Linked DNA regions of Callithrix jacchus. The protein of the gene in region 2 interacts with the protein of the main gene of each other region in a pairwise test. Links are inferred from orthologs where the notes say so. Each region holds a gene or a part of one and is shown on either strand. Other genes may lie near its edges.

Region 1 (7,267 bases), on a different chromosome or scaffold from region 2:
TGTTACCACACGTGTCCTGGAGGTCAATATCAACCCCCCATTGAGAATGATCCCACTCCTGTGTTGCCTACCTGGGAGAAGGCAGGAGCCCCATCCTCTAGGCTGTCTGCTCATGGTCTCTTTCATGGTCCTCACTTGTGACCAGTTGAAGAAAGGAGACTGTAACTGAAATGCTCATTTGGGCTTCCCTTCAGCATAGTCAGAAACATTTTAATTGTCATAAAAACACCAAAACTGAAAACATGCAGCATATGAAACTACCCTAGAGGTTAATAGCTGGAGTTGGGAATAGCAGTGTCCCAAAACGTTCTGTTAACATCATCCATGTTGATCTGCAGGGATGTTGTTGATTTGTGTCAAACTACCTGGTATTTTCTTTCTGCTCAGTCACTTACCACTATCATTACCCTGTTTCTTTAAGTGGTCATTTTTCCCTCTTCCCAGTGTACAGCCTGTCACAGGAAGGTCAGTTTGGAAGTTGTGAAACCTGTATTCTGGCCTCAGCTCTGTGATAGGTTGACTCTGTAGCCTGGGACCTTGCCTTACAGGGCCCACTCTTCTCATCTGGAAAATGATGGGTAGAGCTAGATTCCTGGTTTTCAGTTTGCTACCCAGGTCAGTGATCCTTAGTTACTCTTTCCCTGACAAATTTCATGTTCCCATGCCCTCCCTCTACTGACTGGCTCTCATCCCAGTAAATCTCAAGAAGGGGCTCATAGCTCAGTCTTGGCAGGGGACATGAGGGGAGTATGTAGCTTCTCAAGATTGAAACACTGCAGACACTGAGCTTGTTTCATCTTCATCCCAGCTTCCAAATGCTAAGTTGGTAAAATAAATCGCCCTCGGCGTAAATGCTCTCCCAAGCCTCCTATCCCCACCAAGGCAATCTTAGGGATGTTCACATCTTTATGGTGACAGTAATTTGTGGCTAATAATTCCTGAGCTTGCACAATTACAGTATGCTAAGTTTTGCATGACAGGAATTTGATAGTGCAACATACACAGCCCCTTTTCTCTTTCTTTGAAGTATTAGTCTCAGCCGAACTTCATTATTTTCTCTTATCCATAATTTCTAGAGCCCAGTTGCTTTAGATTATTAAGATACTAGATAAAGTGATCCATTTGAAAAGTAAATGTGACATTTTACAATGTGGATAAAATGCTACTACATTTGGTGTTTGCTGAGAACTACTTTGCATAAAAAAGTCTCCTTTATTACATGGTTGGTGACACTTAGGCTTTCATTTATTTTTTAACAGCATGATGTAGAAATAAATAAAATTATATCCACAACTGCATCAAAGACAGAAACACCAACAGTGTCTAAGTCTCTGAGTTCTTCTTTGGATGACGCCGAAGTTAAGAAGGTTATGGAAGAATGTAAGAGGCTGCAAGGTGAAGTTCAGAGGCTACGGGAGGAGAACAAGCAGTTCAAGGTAATAGTTTATTTTCTGGTAAGCTACAGAGAACAAGGGCGTTTTCACTAGGATCTTGGATGAGGAAGTTGATGAACCAGTAAATATATAGATTTATTTTTGCTTTTGGCATTTGTCTATCTTTTTTCTCCCCGGGAAGAAATTTCCATAGCTTTCATCAGATTCTCAAAAGGGTCCTTGGATCTGCCTAAATTAAGAGCCACTGTCCCTTGATCAGCAGTTCTCAACTGTTTAAGCCCTTGTCCCCTTTAAAAAAAAAAAACAAAAATCTCACACTCTCCATTAGTGTAAATTGAAAATAAATGTTGAGACCAAAATAGCAGTTTTTATTTTGAATATGCATTTTTAAACCCCATGCCATCCCCATTCACTTGAGTGAGAATTTCTTTTTTTCAGAGGGTAAATACTGACCTATACTCTGTTTTAATGCAGGTATAGTTCTGATTTTAGAAGACTCGAAATAGGTCTGGGCAGTCGTGGCTCATCACACTGTTGATTGGTGTCATGATGAGATTGGAGGTGGGATGCTGCACAGTGGATACGAGGTGGGGATTATGGAAGGGAAACCTGAGCCTCTAGCTCGTTGACGAGGCAGTTGGCATTGGCAGTGGAAGGTTGAATTGTACTGAGTGGTGAAGGGGTGCTTCTTTTGGCTTAGAGGCCTGTAGTGGGGTGGAAGTTGCTCTCATCCAATTTGAAACAACTCTGAATCTCTGCTGGTCACAGCATCTCTTAGGCCTTTGTTTGCTAAACACCTCTAAGGCCCCTTTCAGCTTTAAAAGTATGAGTTTGTGTTAGACATGGTATTGAAGAGAACATTTCTGAACATCAGATTATAGAAACTTTTGTTGCAGCTTACATTTTTAGGCCTTTTCCTTAATCTTGATCATGTCACCCAAGCATGTAAATAGGCTTTCATTCTTAAAGTACCCTACAGCCAGGTACGTACAATAAATTCATATATTTTGACTTTTCCTTCTCTTTTATTCTGACAATGAGATAGATTTAGGAGAACTGACAACATTCAGGAAATGGTATGCAGTATCATCTTCCTTTGCAGTGATCTTGATTTGGCTCAATCAGTAAGTTCTTCTGTGTGGAGTAAATTGTGAAGCTGACACTACTTTTTGGCTAAAAATCTAAGCTATACCTAAAGCTTCTCCTTGGGTGTATTTCTCTTCAGAAACAGAGTTCTGTGCTGTTTAAAGTGATAAATAGGTAGAAATAGCTTCTATATAAACCCAATAAAATAAATGCTGTAGTTTGCTGTGCCCATTTTTTTTTTTTAAGCCAGTCGAACACACCAGTTGTTTATCATTGTGCAGTGATACTGGCCATGCCCCAAGAGCAGAATATCCTCAAAATGTTATCAGACCAATCTTGACATTAGAAGATTCTTTATCTTGCCAAATGCTGCTTTTTGTTTTGTGTTGGTTTATTCTGTCATCTCTCCAGCAAATTTACTGAGGGTCTAATATGTGCATGGCACTGTGGATTCAAACATGAACAGTTCCTGCCCTTGGGGAGCTCTCTGGTGATGGGATAGCAGGGAGAGACATAGACAGAAATGATTACAAGCCAGTGTGATAAATGTCCCACAGAGATAGCAACAAATTGCAAGGAGAGTCAGCCCCATGGGACTCATCTGCCTCAGGACCTGCTAGGTATTTGGGTGGTTGGGAGAGAATGGAAGGAAATAAAGAAAAGAAAGTATGGCTGGTGTGTGGGGTTTAGGGGTGAGTAGATGAGGTGATTAGCAAGAGATCTGGCAGCTGTGATAAGTCTGGGCCAGAATAGAAATGGCCTTGATGCGTGTCCCTCTTCAGGGATGTGGACATGGCTTTGAGGGCATGGAAGTGGCATCGTAGATCTACATAGTAACTTGCAGATTCTTAGGAAAGTGCAAGGCAGTTGTGGCAGTGGAGGTGAAGGAAGAAAACATTTTTCATTTCTTACATATTTATGTAGTTTGGGGTCAAGGGGAGGGTGGGGAATATGGTCAAGTATCTTTATATGTATGAAAAAGAATGTTGTTTTTTCAACAATGAATCTATGCATTAAGTAGAAACTGTTTGAGATGAGTGTACCAAGGCCAGCCACATTTTAATATTCCAAATATCATTTGATCCAGCAGTCTGTTTGTAACTCATCAGGTACTAGCTATGTACAGAGTACAGAGCTCTTCATTTGACAGCTTCCAGATGTCCTACTTTTAGATTCTTTTTTTTTGGTATGGAATCTCACTGTGTTGCCCCAGGCAGGCTCATTTTTGTATTTTTAATAAAAGTGGGGTTTCACCATGTTGACTAGGTCGGTCTCGAACTCTTGAGCTCTGGTGATCTACGCGCCTCAACCTCCCAAAGCGTTGGGATCACAGGCATGAGCCATTGTGCCCAGCTGACTTTGTAGATTCTTATGATTTGTATATATATTTATGTCTTAGGAAATGCCTGTGATTTTAAAAATTGATGATGATTTGATCAAGGAAGCCTATTCATTAGAGGCAGAAGGGACAGAGGTTGGGGTTGAAGAAAAGCATCTGCAGACGTGGCCATGAGGGTGGGTGGGGCTGAGGGTGCAAAGGGCCTCGTCGACCCCATTTAAAAGCTTTTTTCTGTAAATCATGGGAAACCAAGGAGCACCCTGCTTAGATTTGTCAGCATCAAGTGGAATGTATGAAAGAAAAGAGGGGACTGTTTTCTCAGTGGCTTCAGGCTAGTGCCTTCCGCTCTGTAGCCTGCAGTTTCTCCATATGCAAAATGCGGTGGACCGTATCATGTCCTCCAACACTGGGCATAAACAGCCCATCCTGCTAAGCTGTACAGTTGACTCCCCTTTCTGGTGCCTTGGATTGTCTTTGAAATGTGCATTTGCTCCTCTAGGAAGAAGATGGACTTCGGATGAGGAAGACAGTGCAGAGCAACAGCCCCATTTCCATGTTAGCCCCAACTGGGAAGGAAGAAGGCCTTAGCACCCGGCTCTTGGCTCTGGTGGTCTTATTCTTTATCGTTGGTGTAATTATTGGGAAGATTGCCTTGTAGAGGTAGCATGCACAGGATGGTAAATTGGATTGATGGATCCACCATATCATGGGATTTAAATTTATCATAACCATGTGTAAAAACAAATTAATGTATGATGACATCTCACAGGTCTTGCCTTTAAATTACCCCTCCCTGCACACACATACACAAATACACACACACAAATATAATATAACGATCTTTTAGAAAGTTAAAAATGTATAGTAAATGATTTGGGGGGGGGGGAAGAATGATCTTTATTAATGATGAGGGAAACCATGAGTAATGCCACAATGGCATAGTGTAAACGTCATCTTAAACATTGGTAGGCCTTGGTACGTGATGCTGGATTACCTCTCTTAAAACAAGACACTCTTCCTCGCCTGTTGGTGCTGGCCAGTGGAGAGCTGGAGCCCAGCGTGGTGGGGAGTGCGGTCAGCTCCACACAGTAGTCCCCACGTGGCGCACTCCTGCCCCAGGCTGCTTTCCGTGTCTTCAGTTCTATCCAAGCCATCAGCTCCTTGGGACTGATGAACAGAGTCAGAAGCCCAAAGGAATTGCACTGTGGCAGCATCAGATGTACCCATCTTGAGTGAGAGGCGTGTGTTGACTGATTGACCCAGTGCTTTGGAAATATATGGCAATGCTTTGTTCTCTTAAAGGGACCAAGCTAAATTTTTATTGGTTCATGTAGTGAAGTTGTACTGTTATTCAGAGATGTTTAATGCATACTTAACTTATTTAATGTATTTCATCTCATGTTTTCTTATTGTCACAAGAGTACAGTTAATGCTGTGTGCTGCCGAACTCTAGTGGGTGAACTGGTATTGCTGCTGGAGAACTGTGGGTTCCTCTGTCTCTGGAGAGCCTGGTCATGTGGAGGTGGGGTTTATTGCAATGTTGGAGAAGAGCTTCCAGGAAGTGTTTTTCTGGGTCAGTAAATAACAACTGTCATTGGGAGGGAAATTCTCAGTAGTGACAGTCAATTCTATGTTACCTTTTTAAATGAAGAGTACTCAAGTCTTCTAGATTGTTCTTGTACCACCTCTCAACCGTTACTTATACTTCCAGCACCCAGGTTCAAGTCTGATCCTGACCTCCCCTTGGGGCCCTAGCTTGGAGTCAGGGCGAATGGATCAGGCTGCAGAGAGTTAGAAGCGAGGGCGCCAGCAGTTAGGGGTGGGAGCAGTGGGAAAGAGACTGTTCAGCGAATCCATCTAGTACCTAGTTGAGAGTTTGACTGTGAATTAATTTTATGCCATAAAAGACCAATCCAGTTCTGTTTGACTATGTAGTATCTTGAAAAGAAAAATTATAATAAAGCCCCAAAATTAAGAGTTCTTTTGTCATTTTGTCACATTTGCTGTGTGTGGGGAATTATTTTATCGTTTTTATTATTTTGCCATTGGAAGGTTGATTTTAAAATGAGCCTTATTTAATCAAGAAATAAGAAATACTTATTTAATGATTTAACTATATGTGTGTGAGAGTGTGTGTGTGTGTGTGTGTAGTTTTTGGTTGTTTTCAACTGACAGTATGAAAAATAAAACTGCTGAATATTTAAGCACCTGGTCACCCTTGGCCTTCCATTGCTTTGACCTTCAGTAAAAAGCCTCTCTGCTAGGTCAGGGAACCATGCCGTTGAGACTAGTGACAGGCATGCTGGGTACAGTCCCACTCTGTGCACAGGCTTGAGAGGACAAGTTCATCAGAACAAAGGCAGCCCTTAGAAGTCACATACATTGAGCCACATTGCTCCTAAGCCTGGCTCTGTCAAGTTGGGTCAAGGCTCTTAAAACTGGAGAAGTGGAAGTCTGTGGTTGGTCTGAGTAACTTCCTATCTTCATGAAAAATGTTCACTTTAAATCCCAGGTACTCACAGAAGTGGTGAGCAGACCTAGTTCTTACCCAGTCACCCATGGATTGCGTTGAGTATGCAGACAGGAGGCCACCCCAGTATGAATTCATCTCCAGCATTTTTCCCACGTGCACCCCCGTGGGAGTGAAAAGACCGAGCTGTAAGACAGGTGCCTTCTGCCACTTAATTTTCCAGAGGGGACTGACATTTGCTAATTGGAGGTGCTGCAGCCGGTTAAGTGTTTCTGTAGCTTCCAGGCCCTCATGTCCTTGATAGGAGAGTGCTTAGATGGCCCCTAGCAGTGCCTAGGTGTGCAGTACAGCCCCACTACATTAGAGCAGGGCTCTATTTATTTTTAAAGGATATGGCCTTGTGTTCTGATAAAACTTTATTCACAAAAACAGCCAGGTCATGGGATTTGGCCTGTGAGTCTGTGACAGTTCCTGAAAAGAATTATCTGGGCAACTACTCTGTTTTAGACCTTTGAACATGATTTAAGAATTTTGTGTACATCTAGGAGAAGGTGTTCAACTTCTCAGAGGATGTGGGTATTTTGGTTGCGGCTAATCATCCTTTGAAGTCTCTCTTCTTATAGAGGTTAGGACTTGGTGAACATGTTTGTGGGGCTTTTGACTGAATGGCAGAAGGAAACGCTTCAGGAAGAGAAGCAGGCGAGTAGTGGGAGGTTGGTTATTTCTCAGTCATCCTGGCAGCCAAAAATGTGCCAGGAAAAGAAAGAATGTGGAGCAGGCACGGCTCTGGAGAACTTGGAGATGCATGCACATTTAGGGTGTCTTTCCTGGAATTACATAATGAAAAAAAGAGAGAGGAAGGCAAAGAGAAGGTGAATATGGGGACTGTCACAAAAGCCTTCCCTGCCCCAAGGTTAAGAGTCAGATAATCGGTATGAAACATGGAAAGAGCGAGGCTGGGTAAGGTGCCACCGGGCA
Region 2 (7,531 bases):
CTATCACTAAGCCTATAGATGATGACCTCACTTACAACCCTTCCCCCTGCTTGTACCTAACAAATACAGACGCTTCTGCGCGTTCGAGGCCTAACTCTGCTCATAAGTGGCGTGGCCCCCCGAGTCCAGATGCTTTTCACCAGTTCTTCGGTGTCCTGTCTCTTTACTTCTCAGATCCTGCAGCTCAGCACAGCATAAGGGACACCCCATGACCCTGTGGGGCCCACAGAACATCTTAAATTTGCATAATAGTCTTCATCTTAACAAAGACGATACACTATTGTTAGATATTAAAGTTGTTTCCTTTCAGGTTTAACTCTTTAAAAACTTCTATAACTCAGTGCATAACGTTTAAATTTAGTACTGTTGTAATAAGGAGAGAGTGGTAGAAGTAAAATTACGGGGCCAAAGGGTATAAGCATTTTAAAGAAATAAGATATGAGAAGTTCTAAAGCTCTTGGTAAAGATTGACAATTGCTTCTTAAAGGAATCTACTCCCACTCAATATGTGGGAATGCTCACTTAACCAGTTCCTTGCTGAATCTGAGCCTCATCTTCCCCAGTGGGAGACAGGAGCTCACTGGTCCTCCTTCATTTTTGTCTGAATTTAAGGGAACATTTCCAAGGGACACATGGTAGATCAGTTCCATGATCTACTCAAACAAAGGGTGGAGACTGTCTCTCCACATTGCACAGAGTTCCACAGCAGGAGGGGAATGCTGAGTTTCAATAGCTACTGCAGGAGGGGAGCCAAAAACCCACCAGGGCATGGAGAAGCCTTTCTTCCTATTTTTTCAGGGAACTCAACCGTCAGTAAGTCAGAAGCAGCAACCTGGCAGAGGTGGAGGTGGGGACTCAGTCCCAATACCCTAGAGAAGTGCTGCCTCGGTGCGCTGAGATCTTGTCACACACACACCCAGATGAGAATCAGCTTCCCTGCCCTGGAAATTCTGGGGTCTCAGCCCGGTGAAAAAATGATTTCTTACCTCAGAGAGCAATAGTGAGGATAGGAAGGGCCAAGACTTAACCAAGCTCTCAAACACCAAAGCCCCTGAAATGTGTCCTGCTGGCACAGGTGGCCTCACAGGCTGCAAGTCTTGCCTCTCTTGGAGTGTATGGGAGGAACATGCAGAGACCCACTTTTTAGCAGGCTCACCTAGGAGAGATGACAGGTGGGGTCAAAGTGGGGTGTGATGTTCAATCTGCTCTAATCCAGCAGCTCCAAATGCTGAAGAGAATGCAGGGGTACTCAATGAGGGGATGGGATGGATAGCCTGCCGCAGAATGCCAGGCTTCAAACCCAACTCAGCACTGAGGTGGTGATTTGCGTGCATAGCCACTCCTTCCGTCAGTGCTTGCGACATTATGACTGGCCTGTGGGGATCTGGCTAGGATGTGCACTGACTGAAACGTCTTGAGGCCAAATATGCCTTGTTTTTTTTTTTTTTTTTTTTGATATGGAATCTCACTTTGTTGCCAGGTTGGAGTGCAGTGGTGCCACTTGGCTCACTGCAACCTCCGTTTCCTGGGTTCAAGTGATTCTCCTGCCTCAGCCTCCCCAGTAGCTGGGACTACAGGCGAGCATCACCACGCCCAGCTAATTTTTGTATTTTTAATAGAGATGGGGTTTCACCATGTTGGCCAAGATGGTCTTGATCTCTTAACCTCGTGATCTGCCCACCTCGGCTTCCCAAAGTGCTGGGATTACAGGTGTAAGCCATGGTGCCCGGCTGGCCAAATCCTCTTAAATCAAAAGTATAAACAGTGAATTTCCAAACCCTACAGAAACCTCAAAGGAGAAACCAGAGTCAGAAAATGGTGAATCCCCAAAATTTGTACTGGAAGTTCTGAAAAAAGACAGAAAAAAAAGGCCTGGTATATATTTGAAAAAAATGACACATCTTCTCTTGGAGGTGACACCTGGCTGGCAGACGCCCTAAACAAATACATTTTCTTTCTGTAACTTTCAAAATGTGAAATGTCCTTAAAAATAAGAATAAATGATTTGCTGCCTCCTGTGGGATTACTACACCTGCAGAATGCAGCCGGCTCTCATGGTTCCAGACATTGCCCCAAATCCTCAGCATCCTGAGGTCAACCTCAACTACTGTGTTGAGTTTTGTCTCACCCAGTGTGCGACCCGCCCCCTGACACGCATTTCACTCCCACTGCTCCAGTAAAGACGGTTGTCAAGACAGGGCTAGCAAGAGTGTTTATTGACAAAGGTGAATTCACAGAGAAGATTTTGGGGTCCCCGGTTGAATGATGGAGAATCTGAACACCTGGTGAGAGACTTCAGGATCTTCTGTCCAGAGTGAAGGACCAGAACAGCTTCCAGGGTGAGTCCTGCGGCCGCATAGGGGGAGAAGTGTCACCAGATTCAACTCCAGGGTTTAGAGAGAGACAGGCAGAGGGTCTGACTTGGAGAAGGTATTTCTCTGAAAGCAAAGTTTATTGTGGGAGGGAGAAAGCACAGCCAGAACAAGAGTGGTGTTTGGGGGTCTGGGTTAGATATTCTGGTCGGTGCTCTTCCCGATGGGGCAGAGAAGGAAACTCACTTCCCTTCTGTCTACTTGGTGAATCTGCGGGCCTCTGAGTTGCTGCCTGCTCCATCTCATAACACCTATCTTGGAGGGGGCAAAATTAGCTCAGGTGCCCTGCAGGCTGAGAGGGACAGCTAGCCTCAGCAGCCTGGTTTAGGGAAGTTCAGTCGCTCGAAGGTTCTGGGGAAGCTGATGGAGGAAACCGTGGGAGTCCAGGCAGCGCGCGAGGCCATGCGAGGCCGGCCGGAGCGGCTTGCTGACGCCAGGACAGGCGCGTCTGGGGAGCTCAGGCCCCCTCCCGGGGCCTCTCCCCGCTTCTCATTGCTCCACTGCGGCCCACCTCCAGCGGCCCGGGGCAGCCACCAGGAAGGAGGCCGAAGCAGTGTTCGCGGCCTGGGCTCGGCCCCAGAACACCGAACTGTCGTCCCTGGAGAGCGAGGAGGCCGAGCTGATCCTTCGCGCCAGGAGGCCGGTGCGCCCGCAGGCCTCGTCCCGCGCCCGGGCTCGGAACGAGCGGTCCAGCAGGAGGTAGATGAGCGGGTTGGCGCAGCTGTTGACGAAGGCCAGGCAGGTGGCGATGGTGAGGCCCCAGCGCAGCGCCAGCAGCAGGGGGCACGGCAGCGGCAGCGCCTCCAGACGCGCCAGGTGGAAGACGGCCCGCAGGGCGCTGAAGGGCAGCCAGGAGCCCACGAACGTGCTCTCGATGGCGAAGATGATGCGCAGCGAGTTCCTCCGGGCGCGCCCCACGTGCGGCGGCCGGCGCAGGCGACGCGAGATGCGGCAGTAGCAGAAGAGGGTGACGACCAGGGGCAGCACGAAGGTGAGCAGCAGCAGCAGCAGGCTGAGGCCCTGGAAGGCGTGGGAGGGCTCCTCCCCGCACTGGCTGCCCTGGCCCCCGGGCAGGGGCTGCAGCCCCCGGTAGAACAGGGAGGGCAGGCCGGCCAGCAGCGCCACAGCCCAGACGCCGCAGCACGAGGCCAGCGCGCAGCGCGGGGTGCGCAGCGGCCGCGCCTCGAGCAGCTTCACCACGGCCAGGTAGCGGTCCACGCTCATGCCCGCCAGCAGCAGCGCTCCCGCACAGCGCGTGCCCGCCAGCGCGAAGCTGCTGAGCTTGCAGAGGCCCTCTCCGAAAGGCCAGCGGCCGCCGAGCGCCACCGCTGCGGCCCACAGTGGCAGCGTGAGCACGAAGCCCAGGTCCGCGGCCGCCAGGTGCAGCACGAAGGTGTCCACCAGCCGCCGCGGGCCGCGGCGCCCGGCCAGCAGCCACACCACCAAGGCGTTGCCCAGCAGGCCCACGGCGAAGGCAGCCAGGTAGAGCGCAGGGATGTAGACGTAGCCGTAGGGCAGGTCCCCGGCCGGACACAGCTCCAGCTCCTCCAGGTCGTCCAACCCCGAGTAGTACCAGGGCGCGGACGCCGGGCTGGTGCTCCAGGGCTCGGTGGGGGCCATGGCCTGGCCACCAGGCCTGCGCGGGATGCAGTCCTGGGCGCAGGCGGCAGCAGCTCTGAGCAGGGGTGGGGGGGTTGCTCTTCACGCCCGCCCTGGCCCAGCACCTCCCTTCCTGCCACCCCAGACCGAGGCAAATGGGTGGGCAGGAAAGAGGGGAGGGAGGAGGGGGTGGGTTGGGAGGGGCAGGCTCCTGTGGGAGAGATAGTGGCCTCGGATTTGGGGCTGACCCAAGGGGTAAGGGCAGGGACAGGCAGAAGGGGCTTCACAACTAAGTCTGGGGAGTAAAGTCCTCAGGGCTGGGAGACCTGCCCCGCCTCCCAGTAGGAGCACGGCCCATGCCTCTATTAGTTGTTCACTTTCTTTGTTCATGAAATCCGGATACTTGCCCCACTGTCTCAGGGTTGGGTTGCAAGAGGTGGTGGGTGCCCGAGGGCCCTAATCTCTTCTCAGCCTCCACTTCGCCCCCTTCCCACCTGCACCCACCGGCACCCACCGGCTGTTGTTTTCTCTTAGAGGTGAGAAGACAGAGCCCAGGAATTTTATAAGAGTATGAAGCCTAAGGCACACCCCACCCCCAAAACACCTGTCTCCTAGGAAAGAGTCCACTACCAGGACACAGCAGATCTGGGTGGGTGGGGGAGCTTGCCTGGGCACTTAAGGCATCTCAAGTGTCCTGAGATGTGGGGCTAATGTCTTCATCCCAAGAGTGGCTCCTCTAACCCAATCAGATCCTCATGAAGCCATGCAGAAGTGTGTTAAGGCAGCGAGGAAGGTGTGTATTCAGATCATCCTGCTGGAAAGGGGTGGGACCTCACATCTGGCTCTCCCCTGTCTTCCCCCATCCTACAAAACCTACCTATTAAGCCAAACACAGATATAAGGTCAATTCAAAGGATGACACTTAATGAAACACCAGATTCGTTGTCCTGAATTATATGTCAGGAGCTTGGAGGTGGCAAGGTCCCTTGTGAACTGGGAAACTGAGAGTAAGGCAGGGGAATGAAGTCTCACCTTGAAGGGGGTGGTGGGACCTGAGGAGGAGAGGCTATGTGAGGAAAATCTTGCTCTTACTGCTGAAGGAGGCATACAGCCGCTTACATCTGAATTCTTCTTAGCAGATATCCCTTCCACAAGGTATTGTGGTGGAACTGATGTCACAGTGCATGTGCCCTCTGAGTCTGTCCCCAGTGTCCCCATGAATGAGTGGCTAATGTGCTGGGCAACCTGGTGTGGAAAATTTGAGGTGGATTATCAATTTTGTTCGATTCAGACTTGTAAACAGTGAACTCCTCCATGAAGCAGGCATTGTTTCAGGCATTACAAGAGATGCCATTCTTTTTTTTTGAGTTGGAGTTTTGCTCTTGTTACCCAGGCTGGAGGACAATGGCACAATCTTGGCTCACCGCAACCTCCGCCTCCTGGGTTCAGGCAATTCTCCTGCCTCAGCCTCCTGAGTAGCTGGGATTACAGGTACTCCCCACCATGCCCAGCTAATTTTTTGTATTTTTAGTAGAGACGGGGTTTCACCATGTTGACCAGGATGGTCTCGATCTCTTGACCTTGTGATCCACCGGCCTCCCAAGGTGCTGGGATTACAGGCTTGAGCCACCGCACCTGGCTGAGATGCCATTCTTGACCTTAGCCATTTGTTGCATAGACAGGAGAGATGGTTACTTAAGCAGAATGTGCAAGAGTCCAAACTGTAGTAAACGTTACAAGCCAGTTACTCTCAGGGATTAGAGGAGTGGGGTGTGATCATTTCCGATGGGAAGGCTGAATCAGAAAAGGCTTTCTAGGAAGTGACACTTGAGATCAGTCCCAGAAAGGAGTCGAAAGTCAAATAAGAGCAGCAGAAAAGAGAGGAAAGGATCAGACTAGGAGGAGGGGTAAAGGGAACAAGTATACCGAAATGAGGAGGAATGTGGGCTTTTCAGGGGACAAGCAGTCTGCCAGAGCCCAGGGTAGAAAGGAGGGGCAGGGGGAAGGAGATGAAGCAGGAAAGGATCTTGAAGGGATATGGATTTCAATCTAAAAGTCATGAGGAGCCAGGAGGCATCAATCTGTGTTTTGAAAAGATCCCCGGCAGAACTGTGGAGAGGGGAGAGGCTCAAGCCAGGGAGATCCCACAGTAAGTTGTAATTATTTGTGTCTGAAATAGATCATGAGCAGTGGGGACAGAAAGGAGAGGATATATTCAAGAGATAATTGTAACATCACAGGTCTCACACATAGGAGTCAAAGATAAGCCTGAGGTTTCTCTGCTTAGGGACTGTATGGACACCGTCCCCTTAACTGCCAAGAACACAGAGGGGCGCATGTGTGTATGTGTTCAGTTTGATGTTGGTTTGAGATAGGGTAACGAAATAATTTACCATGTAAACCAGGATGTTTCTGAGAGTGAAAGGGGCACTATCACAATTAACTTGGACCATAAACCAGGGCTATTTCGGGCAAACTGGGACATAAGGTCACCCTTGTTCAGGGTCCCTCTGGCACATGGAGATCCCAGGGAGGATTTGGAAAATGGTCTTAGAGGCTGGGCGCCATGGCTTACCCCTGTGATCCCAGCACTTTGGGAGGTCGAGATGGGCAGATCACTTGAGATCAGGAGCTCGAGACCAGGCTGGCCAACATGGTGAAAACCCATCTCTACTAAAAATACAAAAATGAGCTGGATATGGTGGCGAGTAACTGTAATCCCAGCTACTCGGGAAGCTGAGGCAGGGGAATTACTTGAACCCACGAGGCGGAGGTTACAGTAAGTGGAGATGGAGCCTCTGCACTGCAGCCTAGATGAAAGAGCGAGGCTCTATCTCAAAAAAAAAAAAAAAGAAAAGAAAGAAATTGGTCCTAGAGCTCACAGAGAGTCGGTATGCAGTGGTTAGGCTGTTCCTGTCAAGAATTTTTCTCCCTCACCAATTACAAGGTGGGTAGGGAAGAGGGCAGGGAATGAATGGTCTGGACCTTCCCTTCACAGCCATTTCAGCCTCCGGGCCTGGTTTTCCCCTGAAGACCCACCCCAGAGCTGCTTTTCTAATGTCTGGGCATGTGGTTGCTGGTGAGTGGTGCCCACATCCGGGGTGGAGTAGGGGGCTGCAGCCTCCTCCCTTAGAAGGCTGGCAGGGGCAGCGCTTGCCTGCCAGAGCCCGGAGACCATCAGAGACAGACCCAGCGTTGCTGGACTTCACCCCTCCAGCACACCTCAGTCTGAGGCTGAGAGAGCATGAGTGATCCTGAAAGCGGGAGATGAACAGTAGAGAAACCGCCAGGTGAAAACAAAGAATGGGGCAAGCAGACCAAAGGGGAATATAAGAAGGGGGTTGAGGGGAAGTAGAAGTAGGTTGTTTATTTAAAAAAACAGAGATACTTGCTTTCTGGGCCCTCATCTCATACCCAAGGGAAGTCTGTGGCCCACAGCTTATGCTGAATTTTCTCTGCTGAGGCCTGGGTGCTGTCCGTGGGCCTTACTGAACTTGTCTGGATGGGAGGAAGTAGCAAAGGTCAGAGCCAGGGACACTGCCTTGGGCCTGGCCTCCCGG

What was found. The genes of interacting proteins can lie anywhere in the genome.
Region 1: the proteins of GPR25 (region 2) and VAPB interact in binary tests that used the Homo sapiens proteins (3 or more experiments, as listed by UniProt). The two-hybrid records come from large-scale screens. The link is inferred for Callithrix jacchus from reciprocal best matches to the Homo sapiens genes GPR25 and VAPB.

Annotation. Positions count from the first base shown.
Region 1 is NC_133506.1:54,026,694-54,033,960, forward strand, and holds the end of VAPB (vesicle-associated membrane protein-associated protein B/C), read left to right. Parts: intron 1-1,259; coding exon 1,260-1,436; intron 1,437-4,318; coding exon 4,319-4,477; 3' UTR 4,478-5,796; downstream 5,797-7,267. UniProt on the Homo sapiens protein: Endoplasmic reticulum (ER)-anchored protein that mediates the formation of contact sites between the ER and endosomes via interaction with FFAT motif-containing proteins such as STARD3 or WDR44.
Region 2 is NC_133520.1:27,882,974-27,890,504, reverse strand, and holds GPR25 (putative G-protein coupled receptor 25), read right to left. Parts: upstream 4,050-7,531; 5' UTR 3,993-4,049; coding exon 2,862-3,992; 3' UTR 2,196-2,861; downstream 1-2,195. UniProt on the Homo sapiens protein: Orphan receptor.